Caenorhabditis elegans: one gene and its partner. The protein of the gene in region 1 interacts with the protein of each later gene in a pairwise test. Each region holds a gene or a part of one and is shown in the gene's direction. Other genes may lie near its edges.

Region 1 (7,603 bases):
TTCCAGAACGACGCAGTAATCAAGCTGAAAATCAAGTTCAACCCATTTGCCAAAGGATTCCGAGAGGGAAGCCAATCAGACAGAAAACGAAATTCTCCATCCGCCGACGACTCTACAACAGATGAAAGCTCATCTCAAGTCTCTTCTCCTCAGCCAAAAAAGTCACGAACCGTGTCAGTATCACCTCCATTGATGCCACGGATCCTTCCAACAATGATTCCACCACCACCAGCCATCAATCCCCTTTTCTACAGTCTCCCCTACTTTTCCCATTTGGCAGCCACCGGGAACTTCCCGCCTGTACCATTCCAATTCCCATTTGGACTTCCATGCTTCTCCCCAATGTCATTTCCAACACCTCCGCCATCTTTGAAAAATGTCAAGAAAGAAGAGCAAGAGGATATTGAGCAGGAAATCAATGTAGTTTAATTGCAAAATTTAATTATTAATTTTAAATTGTTATACTTTAGTTCGGGTCACATGATCACTTTTTCTGTTAATTTTTTCTGCATAGAAGATTTTTTGTTTCTGAATTTGGACATAATCAAATAAATTTTATACGGTGTAATTATCTTCCAGACAAGTAGGCAGGCAGGCAAAAATGCTCTTCTGCGGGCATTCACAAAAAATAGGTCTTCTATTGCCCATGCCAATTTTTTGAAAAAATAACTTTAACTTTAAAAACCAGTTTTTTTGCGGCCTTTAAAATTGAGCAATTTTTCCTTTAAAAAATTTCCAAAAAACACCATGGCCGAATTTGTATTTTTCGCGGCCACGAGACTTCAATTTTTCATGGCAATGTTTTAAGAAACTTTTATGGTTTTTACAGTTTAAATTTTTTCCACCATAGAGCATAACTTGCCACGTGGCCGAAAAAAAACGGTGGCGGAGTTTCTTCAATTGGTTCTTTCTGCCACCAAGACTAAATGCGGGGCCGAGGTTTCACACGTTCTAGGCCACGCAATTTCTTTTTTGAACTGTTTTTCTTCTTTCCGTTCCTTCAATTTTCTCCGTTATGGCCTAGACTTTCTTGTGAAAAACTATAGTTCTTTCAATTTTGAAATTGCGAAAAATCGGCAAAGTCGACCTGCTCAATATGATGACGTGGAAGATTCTGCATGAGAATTACACAGTGTGTCATCACCCCTCTTACACTTTTGTTCTCTCCCATCACAGCCTCCCATACACACAATTTCACTACAGTTTTGCTCCTCGCGCGGCTTGATTATCATTATGTTTATATGGTCAAAGCCGAGTTTGAAGTACGCCCGGGCGGCGAATTTGCATAACCCCACAGAGAGACAAAGTACTGTGTCGGTCATGTTCGATCAGTGGTTAACAGTACATGTATATATGAGATTTGTTTTAAAAGAGCAGCTTCTTCTCTACCACCACCACTTGAGTCTACGTTTGCCCCACAGAGGGTGAACAAACGGCGCTAGGAGCCCGAGTTATTTCGAGATGTGTCACTCTTTTACAAGTTCGTCGCCACGTTTGACACTTTTTAATTTTTTTTGTGTTTTGTGCATTGGTAATTAATTTGTATATTTTTAAAAGTTATTTGAAAAAGTTGGGTCTCGCCGCGAAAATTTCGAAAATTGTTTTTCAGTCCAATTAGTTGCTATAATAATTTTTTGGTTTTTTTCTGTAATTCCTCAGCTTTCTGCTTTTTTAAACACTCAAGTTTTATTTTATTACCGTAACTCCCTTTAAAAAAATTGCCCAGGCATGAAATTTTGTGAAAAATACGGTATCCGATCTCGACACGACAATTTTTTGTTAAATAAAAACGGGTGTGCACCTTTAAAGTGTACTGTACTTTTACACTTTTGTTGCTTTTATATTTTCGCCGATTTTTCATAGTTTTTATTACAAGTTATTACAATTTATTGATTTTTAATTTTTTTAAAATTCTAGTTTTAAATAAATAAAGATTTTCAACGAAAAATTATGAAAAATCGATGAAAATTCCGCAGCAACGAAAGTTCGAAATTACAGTACTCTTTAAAGGCGCACATCGGTTCGTAATTCACAAAATTGGCGTGTCGAGACCGGGTACCGTATTTTTTCCCATTGAGCAAGTATTTTTATATATTATAGTTTTACAGGATATTTTAAGTTTCGGTTTTAGTTTTTCTACAACAGCTTTTCCATCATTTCCCAACTTTGTTCCAGGTGACACTCGAATTCTGCCAATTTTCACACGCAATCCCAGCGCAAAACGATTTAAACAGTAGAGTATTTAGTAAAGTAACGATGTTCATGCTTGTTCAACGAGAAACACACATAGTTTTGTTTGCTTAACGGATCAGGAACTTTTCCAATCATTTGTCTCCACTTCTACCTCGGTTAACAATGGGTTTAGAGAGTTCAAGCGTGCTGCTGAGATTTCCGGAAAATAGACAATTTTCACTTTTCAATCGGATTTCTTTTTAAAATAAAAATATAGCTTTTTCGGATGGAAAACTAAATAGTTCTGATAAAATTTAATTTAATTTTTTAATAAAAATTAAATTTTCACTCAACTACGGTAGATCCTTTTCTGTGCGTCTTCGGTGTTTGCGTGTTTGCGTACCCATTTAGGCCGCCTATCTTTATTATTTGAATTTTGGTGGATTTTTATCATAATTCTCCAATTTTTTGAACTTTTCGCAACATTTCCCGCGTTTTAATCCATAAAATTGTTGTAACAGCTGTTGAGAATAACTTGCAACCGAAAAACGCGCGTGTTTTCCGCATTTTTCGCACACTGTTCCACATTTCGGATTATCTTCACCACAAAATCTCGCCTTCTTGGGAGATCGCTCGCCGCCTATGTGTAAACGTCTCCTGTTTCCCAATTGAAAAACCTCAAAGATTATGCTTTCAGTATATTTGAAATCAGATACCTCTAAACTCCCCAATTTTGTGCTCCCGTTGCTTGCTTCTAACTTCCTTTGTTTATTTTATTCATTTTTTTCAACTTTTTTAGTTTCGAATTCCAGGTTTGTGCACTCACTACGAAATCTCTTCGAAATAAAAGCGAGTAGGAAAGTAATCACTAGCGAAAATGACGGATTCTCAAAGGTAAGAGAAGAGAAATCTGCTCGAGCACGGTTTTTTGTTGCATCTGTCGACGTTATTGGCTTCGATTGTGTGAGTCACTAATGACAGATGTCTGTGTCCAAAAAATAACTTTTTTGAACGAGCTGGTACCTCCGCCGGCTGTCTTTCGCATCTGTCCCCGGTCACTATGTATTCTTCATTTATTTCGGTTTTCAGCACTCAAATGGGTCGTGGAAGACACGCTAAGCGAAACAAGAGCACCGCTTCCGTCGGCAGCAAGAAAAATCGCACACAGTCGACTGCATCTGGAAAATTCCAGCCAAGCGTTGTAAGTGATTAATGATTATCAATTTCGATTTCAAATAATAATTTTCTATTTTTCAGGATGGTTTCACCACGTTTATCGTGGCAGTTTCCAGACTAGGAAAGCAAGGACAAGAGTTCACATGGCATGATCTGAGAAAGGTTTACCATAAGGAGACCCAACGTCAACTCACCGCCGAAGAGCTCAATGCGATCTTCTCATCGAAGAACTTGACCAAGTAGACTGAATTTCGTTTTTTTTAAATCTAATTTCACTTTTAGACGAGAAATCTTCGAGCTTCCAAAGGTCAAAAGGTTCATGACATCGATGGATGGGAGTATGATGTGCAGGTTTCGCCTGATCGCCGATCCACAGGAAGTTTACGATGACGATCTCCCTCCATTGATGTCCACATCGGTCGAAACCGACGGTAGGCACCCCTAGTTTCAGAAAAATAATTTTAGTAGCTAATTTTTCTAGTTATCACTGAAGACACGTCATCCGATCACTCACAAGCTGTATCACCATCAAGTGGGAATCCGATTGCGATCTCAACAGACTGCGATGACAAAGCAGCTGGTCCAACTTCGGATTTAAGCAAGTCCGACAACTCTCCATCGCAAAGGTCTCTGGCACAACAGTCTTCAATGACTGATGACGAAGGATGGGTGTCTGGGAAGGATGTAGGTGGAAGTATACCCAATTTTTAGTATATTCAAATTTTCAGGTTCGCTCGGAAAATTCATCGCCGGTTGAGGATAAGGATGAGGTTGACGGTTCTAAGATGGAGATGGAAGACGATGTCTTTGAAGAAGATCAGAGAATCGCTGCTGAAAGCGATCAGGTCGACAGTGCAATGGTTGCTGATGTGATTATTGTGGAGGAGGCAAAAGTTGAGAAGCTTTTCAAGGCTCAAGAGATTGTGGCTCCGATAGTGCTCACGGAATCAATTGATGCCGCCTTTGAAGCAGTTATTCAATCAGTTTCACATGCGGATGCAACTCTTTCCATGACACAGTAAGTTTCCCTTATCGTCCGCCACCATCAACACTTTTACTTTTCAGAAACGCTTCCGAAGAGGCGAAAGTGCACGCGACGCCGCCGTTGCCCGCCGAAAGAAAAACTATGGTGTCCGCAGAACTCGCCAACGGGAAACCCATCAAGCATCTCATCGAGAAGTTCGATGCCGGCGTCAACTTTGCAGAGCACAAGCCAAAATCCATTTATGCGCAGGTTCTCGAAGAAATTGGAGGCTCCGCGCCTAGAGTGGATGAAGTGTTTTCGGCGTCAAAGAAGGAGGAACACGCGGAGACTGAAGTGACAAATGTCATCTTCAGAAGCACTTCTACTCACAGTAGCATCATTGCGAACGGGAAGGAGCAGCTGGCCGAATTCGTCGCCGAGCAAGAAGCCAGACAAAAAGTCACTACTCCTAATCCAGTTAAAGAGGAAACTGAGAACGCGTTCTGTGCCAAAGAACAATCTTCAATGTCTTCATTGGATCGAGAGTACTTTGCATCCAAGACTAAATTGAATGAGGATCTATTTGCAGAGGTACTAATATTTTAATAATCAAGTTTTTGTTTTTTAATACTGAAATTTTTAGCTCGGAGTCAAAGATACCGATGGTTTCCAGCTCAAAACAGTCGACAGTAATGGCAGTGGACCAGGATCCTCGGAGATCATCACAGTCATTGAGACTCCATTGAAGGATGATCACCGAAAACGAGCAGATTCCGTGGAGGTTTGCTGATGCGATTTTCTGAATTAAATTATTAAAATTAGTTTCAGAGTGACGCAGATGTTCCATACTCATTGTGCAGTGAAGATGAAGCGGAACCGATGACAATGATCGACAAGTCGATGAAAGTATCACAAAGTGCCGAGCAGTTGTCCCCTGTAAAAGAAGAGCAGAAGGCTAAGACTGTAGTAGTCAACGTCGAGCTGGACGGCAATCGTGCGGATCCCACAATCAAAGATCGCATTGCAGCACTGCAGGCGATAGTGTCAAAGCAACATGTGCCAATCGCAAAAGTGGACAGCGTCGACGATGATGTCAGGATTCTCAGCAGAACCGAGGAGCTTCAACATATGGCACTGGAGGCGAAACCTTCCCCTCAAGCGGTAATTATAAATATTGCTCAAGAAAGTATATTTATTTTAAATTTTCAGCTCGGAGCACTCCGCCGCCGCCACGTTCGATTCATGCGAGGATGCTGCGTTGTCCAGTAGACTTCACCTCCACATCTCACAATCACTCCTCACATCCACGTGTCATAGTGCTTAATTGGTGCTATTAAATCGCCGCTGTAAATTATCAGTCCTCACCACACTCTATATTTTATCCAGATAACTTTCTTTTGTATGTGTGTGTGTGTTTCGAGACAATTATATTCTAATTTCTAATTTTATACCCCCTCCCTTCTACCGTGTGTGGTTTTCTAGTTTACGTGTTCTCAGGGTAGCTGAGAACTTTTCCCCCATTCAACAACTAGAACCAACACGAGTTCTAATTTTTATAACTCTAAAATTCCACGCGCACAAACCAATTTCGCCGTTGTTTCTGTTTTTGTTAAATGAAAGAATATTTTGATGATTTTGAAGGAAACATTTATTATTCTTAGCACAAATCAACATCCTTGCACGCCTTGTCTGGAGAATCCTTGTTCTCAATATCCTTTTTCAGCTCCTTCTTGACCTTCTTCAGCTCTTCCTCACACTCGTGATGCAACGGCAACAGCATAGTCCAGCAAAGAGTTCCGATGTTCACATCAAGCCATGCATCGAGATCATCATCTCCAACCTTCTCTCCACCCTGAAATATGTGAATAACGAGGAAAATTGGAGATATTTGGAGCACAAACCTCGACGAGAGCCTTGCAGACATCACAGAAAACACCGTGATGCTTCTTGAGATTGAGTGGGTTAGCTGGATTGGCTAGAAGTGGAGCAGCGGCGAGCAAGACAAGGAAAAGACACGGAAGAATGCGAGTCATTCTGTAGATTTTAAGATGAAAAACTGGAGAAATGAAGCGAAAATGCACCCGGAGCAGTGATGCTCGTGTCTTTTATCAACTTCGCGGCGGCACTGATAAGGAATCGAATCGTTTCTGATGTTTTCAGCATGGAGGAAAAGATCAAAGGACATTATAGAATACACACCGGGTCGTTCACACATCAGATGCCGATTTTTCGAACTGATAAGATCGCTTAGAGGAGTAGCTTTTCGCCTTGACGGAGAAAATATTGATTAATCAGGTTAGCAGTAAAGTAAATGGTGTGGGCATGTGATTTCTTGATAATTTGAGGAAGATGGAGGCAATCAATTTACTTATTTCAACAATTCTGGGGAAGCTTGAACAAAATCAACAAAGTTAAATAAATACGTAATTAGATAAATATTCACATTTCTTCTTTACAAATAGGCTCTCCGGATTTTTCAACTTTCAAATGCTATCGTCGCTTCTCGTGAGCGCATCCCAGGCGATTTGTCGATATCTGAAAGAGAAAATTGACATTTAAAAATTTAATTAAAAAAAAAAAAACAAACCTCTTGAGCTGCTGAACGGGCTCACTGGACGACGTGACGCCTCTTCCGACGATGATGATGTCGTTCTGCTGTACTTCGATCGCCTCGTCGACACCTCTCCACTGCTGACCGGCCGAGTCGGATTTCGCGTCGAGATTCACACCGGGCGTCCAATTGAGAAGATCCGAGCAAGCAGACACTCTCGTCTGAGTGATGAATCCAGAAATCACGTCACGATTCTCGTTGGCAATCTTGACGGCGGTCTCGGTGTATCCTTCCAGCGCAGTCAAAGATCCTTTGGTGCTGAGCTGCGCGATGAGGAGAACTCCACTGAGCCTGTAAGTCGGATCTTTGGCGAGCTTCCTGAAGACTCCTGCAATGCTGTCACTTCCTTGTACGGCATGAACAGTCACAACATCCGCCCAGTTGGCGATTTTCTGGGCTCCAGTGAGCTGAAGAAGGTTCGTGTTTCCAGTGTCGCCAAACTTCCGATCCTCGAAAATGATAAAGTCCATATCATTTGCCATCGTCGTCAGCTTCCTCGTGAATTCCTCGTTGAAATCGGTGATAGCGTCGGCGTGAAGCTTGATCGCCAGCACAAATGGACCAGCGAGCTCGATCATCTGAAGGCACTGCTCGACGGTAGTGTAGTCGACAGCGAGACACAGATTCGACTTCTTCCGGCGCATGATTCCAAGAATTTTCTTGATGAGTGCAGATTCTGT
Region 2 (7,080 bases), on another chromosome or scaffold:
GTTACGTCGGCGACCACCAATGCCACCGGCCCCGAAAAATCGAAAAAACCGGTTTTCAGGCACGAAACGCCCTGAAAATATTTATGTGAAACATGGGGGGCCTATTTTGTCGTTCTGAAGCGAGTTTTCGTCGGAATTTTATGAGCTTTTCTGCTTCTTCTGCTTTTTGAAATGTTGGAAATAGTTGGCAAAAGTGACACTTATACTGCTAGGCTTTTTTCAAGAAACCGATGACACTGAACATGTTGAGTGTGTTCCGTTTTCTTTGTCATTTTACGACTGTGCGAATTTTTTAGTAATTTTAACTTCTCAACGTCACCTCAATTTCCAGAAACAGGATTTTGAATTTTTTAGATTCAGTTCCAAATTTCTAGATTTTACTGAATTGAAACCGTTGGAAATTTTCACCGTTTTTTTTTTCAAATTTGGCAAAATGCCAATTAGATAGACTCCTTCCTTGAATCGGCTCGGCCAAAATTTTTAAAATTTTGAAAGATCTTCAAGTTTAAGAATAAAATATCAAATATAAATCGATGACCGAGTTTTTTTCGAGGCCAAATAGCAAAAGTCGATCCCTGATTGTTGTTTATTTTAAAATTCGGAAAAAAAAATCTACTAAATTTCAAAATATTGGAATAGAAAATAATAAATAAGTTGTAGTGAGTCATTGTCTCAAAATGCTTATACTTGGTTTTTATGTATTTTTCTTTCTTTTTCTGTTAATCACATTCAATTATTTTTCTTTTCTATTGTTCATTTTCAACCTTCCCGCTGAAATTCTACTATCACACTCTAGTTTTTAAAATTCAGAAACATCGAAAAATGTGAAAAACGTAAGAGTTTTTTCCTTTAGAAATTAAAACCTAAAAGAAAAAAAAAAACGACAACTGCAACATATCGGATATCTTTTCTCACTCACTATCCAAGACCTCAATTGAGTCATATGTTCTTCGTTAACGTTTTTTTTTTTGAAATTTTTGAGTGATGGAAAAGAAAAGCATGAAAAAGAGGCAAATGAGTGATCGGAGAGCAAGGATAGAAGAGTAGGAGGAAGAGGTGGAGTAGTAGCTAGGAAAGAAATTGCAAAAAAAGTGAGAAGATACATTATGTTGTATATATATTTTTTGTCTTTCTCTTTTCTTCTCACCAACTATATGTATACAGTTGGTATAAATAGTGACTGAAATGTGCAGTTTTTACAGTTCTCTTGCAAATTTGCATCTGGATTTTTCTGAAAAAATTGTTTGTGTAAAAAAAGCTGTACATTGTATTTTTTGCGGCAATCTGGATGATTGCGTTTTTGTTTAAAGTAAAAACTTTTTGAAATTTTTTCACTTCTTTTAAACTGTAAACCATGGTTCCAGCAAGCACTTCTACTAGCGTGAGCATACTAACTCTGCCTAAAAAAAACGTAGGTTTTCCAAATCACTTTCGAAATCCAAATTAATTTCAAAATCTAATGACATATAATTATTTGTCCAACTCTCTCCTTATCCCTCCTGCGTATCTCATTTTCCACACCCAATAATTTTTGTCTCTGAGTTCAAAAAAATGAAACGTGCGGGAAGTAAATAAAAAAGATCAGCAGCAGTGGGAAAAACCCCTCGCCACCTGTTAACCTCACAATTTATCAGTTTTGATTGATTTTTATTTCTTGTGTTGTTTCTGATATTTCGACTCTTGTCGGTGTTAACTTGAATTTAGTTGGAATTATGTGAGTTTTGGTTGTTCAATTTTATATATTTTTGTTTTTTTTTGTAGTTTGTTTCACTTGATTAATTTAGAAGCTCAATCTTTATGCCCACTTTGTCAAATTTTCCCAATAAGGATTTCTCGTAAAACTCCAAGTCATACAGATTCTCAGAAGTAATAGTCTTGATAACACTTTATCCCTGTTTTAAAACCTTAAAACTAATCGAAAATAGTTCGAGCTACGGTTCAGCCGCTTTCTGACAAATTGACAACTTCCAAAATCATTTTTTGCATGAAAAATTCAGATTCCAACAACTGGTATAATTTTATAACATTTCTCGCAACCAACCAAATCAAATCATTTATAATTTTCCCTGCATCCAAAACGATCCACGGGAATTCATTCCCATAATTCCATGACTCACACTTTTATTTCCCGCCTATTCTTTTTCTACAATCTATCACATTCTTTCTTCCTTCCATTCTCTGTAACAATTCAATCAAATATATACTATTTTTCTTCACACAAAACCTCGGATTGTTTAATCTTCCTTTTAGTTCTCGAAACTCTTTCGAAAACGTTTATGATGTTCAAATATAGTTTTGATACCAGCGTAGCCATAACCTCTTCTTCAAAACCAACACAAATATTGTACATCTCACATAGGGGAGAACATCGCCAAATTTGAACTATTCTCTCCTATAAAAATGTTTCGACGAAGATCGAAAAGTCTAGCAGTTACAGAACCTACTACTAATGGTACTGTAAAGAAAAAGAGAGGTCATGGGTATGTTGGTACAAACGAAAATTTTTTAGAGCAAATAATTATGTAATTTTCCAACTTCTGTACAACTTCTCACTTTCCTTAACAGCTATGAAAAATATCATAAAATATTTCAATTCCCAATTTTTTCAGGACCACCGTTCGACTCCCCGTTTATCTTCGAGAGATCATCATGGCCGAGCCGAAATCCTTCGTAAGTTTTTTTTTTCGATCATGCAATCTTTCCGGTTTTTGTTTTTTTTGTGTGCATGTGATTCTGTTTTTTGTTTCATTTTTGAGTTTCAAAAATGACAGTTTCCTCCTAATTTGGAAATTCTAACACAAAAAACATTGCGTGTTGTTCTGTTCTACCCCATTACAGTCTTCTCGGAAATGCCACCCCCTTATTAACACAAATAGCCGACTTGGTGAACCATAAAATTGAGGTTTGAATCTTGAAGAAGCACGATGGAGCTTTTTATGTGCTCGAACAAGAGACAATTGTAATTTAGTGTGGGGGTGGTGGTAAAAAGGACATCAAAGATTGAATTTTCATAAGTGGAGAAAGCTTGGTCTGAAAATGTACGCTTGAAGCATTTCTGGAAATTATGTAAATAGAAAGAATGGGAGTAATAAGAAGAAATTTCAGCTAGCTTATGAATTGTAAAGAAGTTACAAAGAACACATTGTAAATTGAAAACATGTTTTTTTTTGTCTGATTGTGAAATTATAAAAATTTCAGTGATATTTTTAGGGAGATATATGAGCTTCAAAGTTTGTTTTGTGCTGGAATACTTATTTCGCTGTCAAAGTAGAACAAAAAGCTGCAAATAGAATATGAACTGTAATTGGAAAAAAAAACATGCTATGCGATGTTTACACCCTCCATACATTCTAATATTCTCCACTTTCAAACAAATCTTCACTTCATTTTAAACTTTTTTTTCTCAAAATATCCACTTCCCAGTTCAAGTTGCTATTTTTAGTTCGAGCCGAGCTCCCATAGGAGCTTATCCTCCTCTTGTTAGGTTATGTGACCCGGGGCTCATAGGAACCACGTCATAAATCTAAAAGCCTTTATGTGCACGAACCGTTAGCACAATCTTCCCCCTCTTTTGCAGAAAAAGTACAATTGAGTCGGTGGAAATTCAAATTAATTCAAATATTTTTGCTTCAACTTTTCTTTTTTTAACTGAAGCCAAAACTGACACAGATAGACATACACATCCGCCTCCCCTTATTTCCATAAACATTTTATGTCCTTTTGCTCTCTTACTCGCTTAGATTTCTCACTCCCCCTTTTGTTAGTTTACCCTTTGATTCATGCTCATTTTTCTTTTTCTCCAAAAATTTATTTGACGTAGACAAATTGTTTTATGCTCTGTGCTCCGGGAAACTTTAGGCTTTAATCCGGTGTGTGTGTGTGCAACTTGTTGCAACAAAGTCAAAATCAGATGCGAAACGGAAATTCCGGGTGTAATCCAATATCAGGCAGAGAAAAATTGAGCAGGAAAAGAAAAGACAAGGAGGATTTCCCCCTCTTCTTTTTGTTTATTTTCTCCTATTTCAAGATTAGTGTCAGTTTTTCATTGTGGGTGGCAGAATCTGCGCTCTATTGGCAACAAGAAAAAGTGAGAATTTGTTGGAATTGAATAATTTTATATTTATTAGCCCATGAGCATGAACTAGGTTTTTGCAGCGGGCATTTGGAAATCTGGAAACAGTTTTTGAACTATTATTAATAATCACAAACGAACCCCATGATTGTTAGCAACTGCCTATTACCAAGTTGCGAAACAATTTCATTTTTGGTCAAAAATTACGCCTCGACACGACTGAAAATTTTCTGAGCAATGGAATATGCGTCATTAAAAGTTTAATAGTTTCGGCTTCCTGTTCTTAATGCTATTTTCTCCTTAACTGCCAAATTTTAAGAGCAAAGTCGATAAAAATTGCGGAACGAACTCTTTAAATGCGCAAGTGAAAATTTTTCGATCGCGTCGAGACCATTTACCGTTATTTTGCCTCAAAAAATCGGATTGTTACACAACTGGATAATATAATTTATGAACAACTTACATAACTTTCTTCTATCTTGCTCTAACGCCATGAACATTTTGAACCTAGTTGGTAGCTGATTTAAACTTTTGAACTTTGCGCCACAAATAGTGACGTATAGCTGTATTCTGCCAAGATTCATGAAAGTTGACATGAGAACTTTACTCTCAACTCAACTTTCCAAAAAACGTTTTTTTCAACAAAAAGTCACATCACACTTTATGTGTATTTTTCTTTCGTTTTCCAACTTCAATCCAGCTGGCAAGTGGCCAAGTGTCAAAACAATAGTAGCCTCTTCCCCTTGAGAAATAGGCCACGCCCACATTTTGGTGGCTCCCTTCCCTTCGTTGAGCCACCGCCCGCCCCAGCATCTACTCTTGAAGCCTAGTTGCTGCTTCACTTTGTCACCCCCACTTGTTCTATCTTCTACCCGAAGCTCCCTTCGTCTAATCCGCCAAACTGTTGTCGATCAAGAATCTTAATTTGGGACTTGGTGACCATGGTCAACTGAGTCCCAAAACGTGGCTTCAGCAATATCAGAAAAAGAACCAAAAAGAGCAGCCGCCGTGTCTGCCGAGTTGCTCGACATCCAGCTCTTGCTCGACGAGCACCTCATCGTGCTACCCACTGGGAACTTGCTACGAAACGATTGGAGATGATATGCCGTCGGTTTGGCACTGTGCCAAATATATCGTAGGACTTTTATTGGGGGTTCTGGGTGCAGATTTTCATCGTCTTCTTGTAGGACCGTGAAAATCTGAAATTCTGTGCAGTGCTTTTTCTTGCAGTGAACTTTAGTTCTAGTTTGTCCAGTTTTGTGTCAGTTCAGTCAGTTTCAGTTTCTCTTTTTTTCAGTTTTTCAGTTTAAATTTCAACCAGTGATGTCCAATCTAACCATCAAGTTTTTGAGTGGCTCCCGATGTTTTTTGTGAAACCGAGAATTTCGGGAATAGCTCAAAAACAAATTCCAACAACTCAAGTTAATATTTCGTATTATTTCAGAACATCCCATACCGTTCCAAGCTCACCGAGCGCATCGAGCCCGGACAAACTCTGATCATTCGTGGAAAGACTATCGATGAGTCCAAGAGGTAATCGAGATTTTGACAATATTCATTCGAATTCTAACCCGAAGAAACTTGCAGGTTCAACATTAATCTCCACAAGGATTCTCCAGATTTCTCCGGCAACGACGTGCCTCTTCATCTTTCCATCCGTTTCGACGAGGGAAAGGTAGGTCATTTGATGTTCGAGCTTCTGACTATTATAGGAACTAAAACCATTAAAACACATACATAAACACACAGAAAAAACAAAGTTTCCGCCCGAGATATACATAAGGCTCGATCAAGCGTATGAGCTATAAAAAATTGGCGCTTCTTTCCATCTTCTCCATCCACATAATGGGTTTAACCGGGGTGACATGAATAGAGGGAGCCCAATGGGACCCAGAAGCTCTAGCTTTCAGACATCAGGAAATTGGCTTGCTTTTGGCTTCACATTTTCCCGTTTCTTCTTACTTCCTTCAAGCTTCTTTTTCTTGATTTCTTTTTGATGATGTTTACCCTTTCGGCATGTGTGAGGGATGATGGTGGTGAGCCGAGAAAATGATTGATCCGTGCTCATTGCCTTGCCCTTCACTCACTCAAATAGACAGTGAATCTGTGTCAGGTGATCCCACACACACACACACACACTCACTCCGTTTCCAGATCATATTCGAAAAGTGGCAGCGAGAAAAAACGCTGAGATCAAGTGTAGGTTTTGAATGTTCACAACTCCCCCTTTCTGATACACCCTAGAATATATGTGTATTTTTTGTGCATGCATCATTTCCACCGAACTTGTTTTTTTAAATGTATAGATCAATTTGGTTATAAAATTTTAAAAATCGATTATCTGGAGTGGCTTCGGTCGACACAAAATTAAGAGGTTAAGAAAATGGTAGAATCTTATTATACTCATAATAAAATTGATAGACCAAAAAACTCGTGATATCCGCAATAAAACGAATACTACCTGGGAAAAAACAAGAAGACCACGCGCGATTGAAATAGTTCAAAAACTGAAAACTTTTGTCGAAAGTCTATAAGTTCATATTTTCGGATCAAGTCGATAAGTTTTAAATTAAAATGAAGATTTATTCATTTTCGCTAAAATTGATGAATTTCAGGATAATTTAAGACATTTCTATTTTAATTTCTGAAATTAAAAATTAAGCTCAATTTACTTTAGAATGCGATTTCGTAAAGCCTACCACAAACAACAAGAAACAGGTGGCTGTAAAAAAATGAACACCGACAAGAAAGTGACTTTCCATTCTAGACTCTAAACAATTTTTTGCAGATCGTCTACAACGCATACACCAAGGGAACATGGGGAAAAGAAGAACGCGCCAAGAATCCTATCAAGAAGGGCGACGATTTCGATATCCGCATTCGGGCTCACGATTCCAAGTTCCAAGTGTCCATTAACCACGTGAGTACTCTTGATCATTTTATTCTGGACGTGTTTGGTCAAGTGCATGCGGGTTAAAAAGTTAAAAACTTTTTGACAGGGCATCAAC

Evidence for each region. The genes of interacting proteins can lie anywhere in the genome.
Region 2: the proteins of T07C4.3 (region 1) and lec-3 interact in a two-hybrid assay, tested with the Caenorhabditis elegans proteins (2 studies listed by BioGRID).

Annotation. Positions count from the first base shown.
Region 1 is NC_003281.10:10,349,173-10,356,775, forward strand, and holds T07C4.3 (ANK_REP_REGION domain-containing protein), read left to right. Parts: upstream 1-2,982; 5' UTR 2,983-3,049; coding exon 3,050-3,066; intron 3,067-3,261; coding exon 3,262-3,373; intron 3,374-3,429; coding exon 3,430-3,587; intron 3,588-3,630; coding exon 3,631-3,779; intron 3,780-3,829; coding exon 3,830-4,032; intron 4,033-4,076; coding exon 4,077-4,366; intron 4,367-4,413; coding exon 4,414-4,903; intron 4,904-4,955; coding exon 4,956-5,093; intron 5,094-5,134; coding exon 5,135-5,473; intron 5,474-5,521; coding exon 5,522-5,581; 3' UTR 5,582-5,945; downstream 5,946-7,603. Other genes in the region: T-box transcription factor tbx-8, read left to right, coding at 7-429; spp-1 (Saposin B-type domain-containing protein), read right to left, coding at 5,970-6,164, 6,214-6,345; umps-1 (Orotidine 5'-phosphate decarboxylase), read right to left, coding at 6,796-6,847, 6,900-7,603.
Region 2 is NC_003280.10:9,988,760-9,995,839, forward strand, and holds the start of lec-3 (Galectin), read left to right. Parts: upstream 1-2,400; coding exon 2,401-2,480; intron 2,481-2,603; exon of another isoform or gene 2,604-2,609; coding exon 2,610-2,670; intron 2,671-3,497; exon of another isoform or gene 3,498-3,578; intron 3,579-3,695; exon of another isoform or gene 3,696-3,816; intron 3,817-4,860; exon of another isoform or gene 4,861-5,174; coding exon of another isoform or gene 5,175-5,207; intron 5,208-5,383; exon of another isoform or gene 5,384-5,516; coding exon 5,517-5,605; intron 5,606-5,659; coding exon 5,660-5,747; intron 5,748-6,226; coding exon of another isoform or gene 6,227-6,263; exon of another isoform or gene 6,264-6,496; intron 6,497-6,860; coding exon 6,861-6,992; intron 6,993-7,080. UniProt on the Caenorhabditis elegans protein: Binds galactose.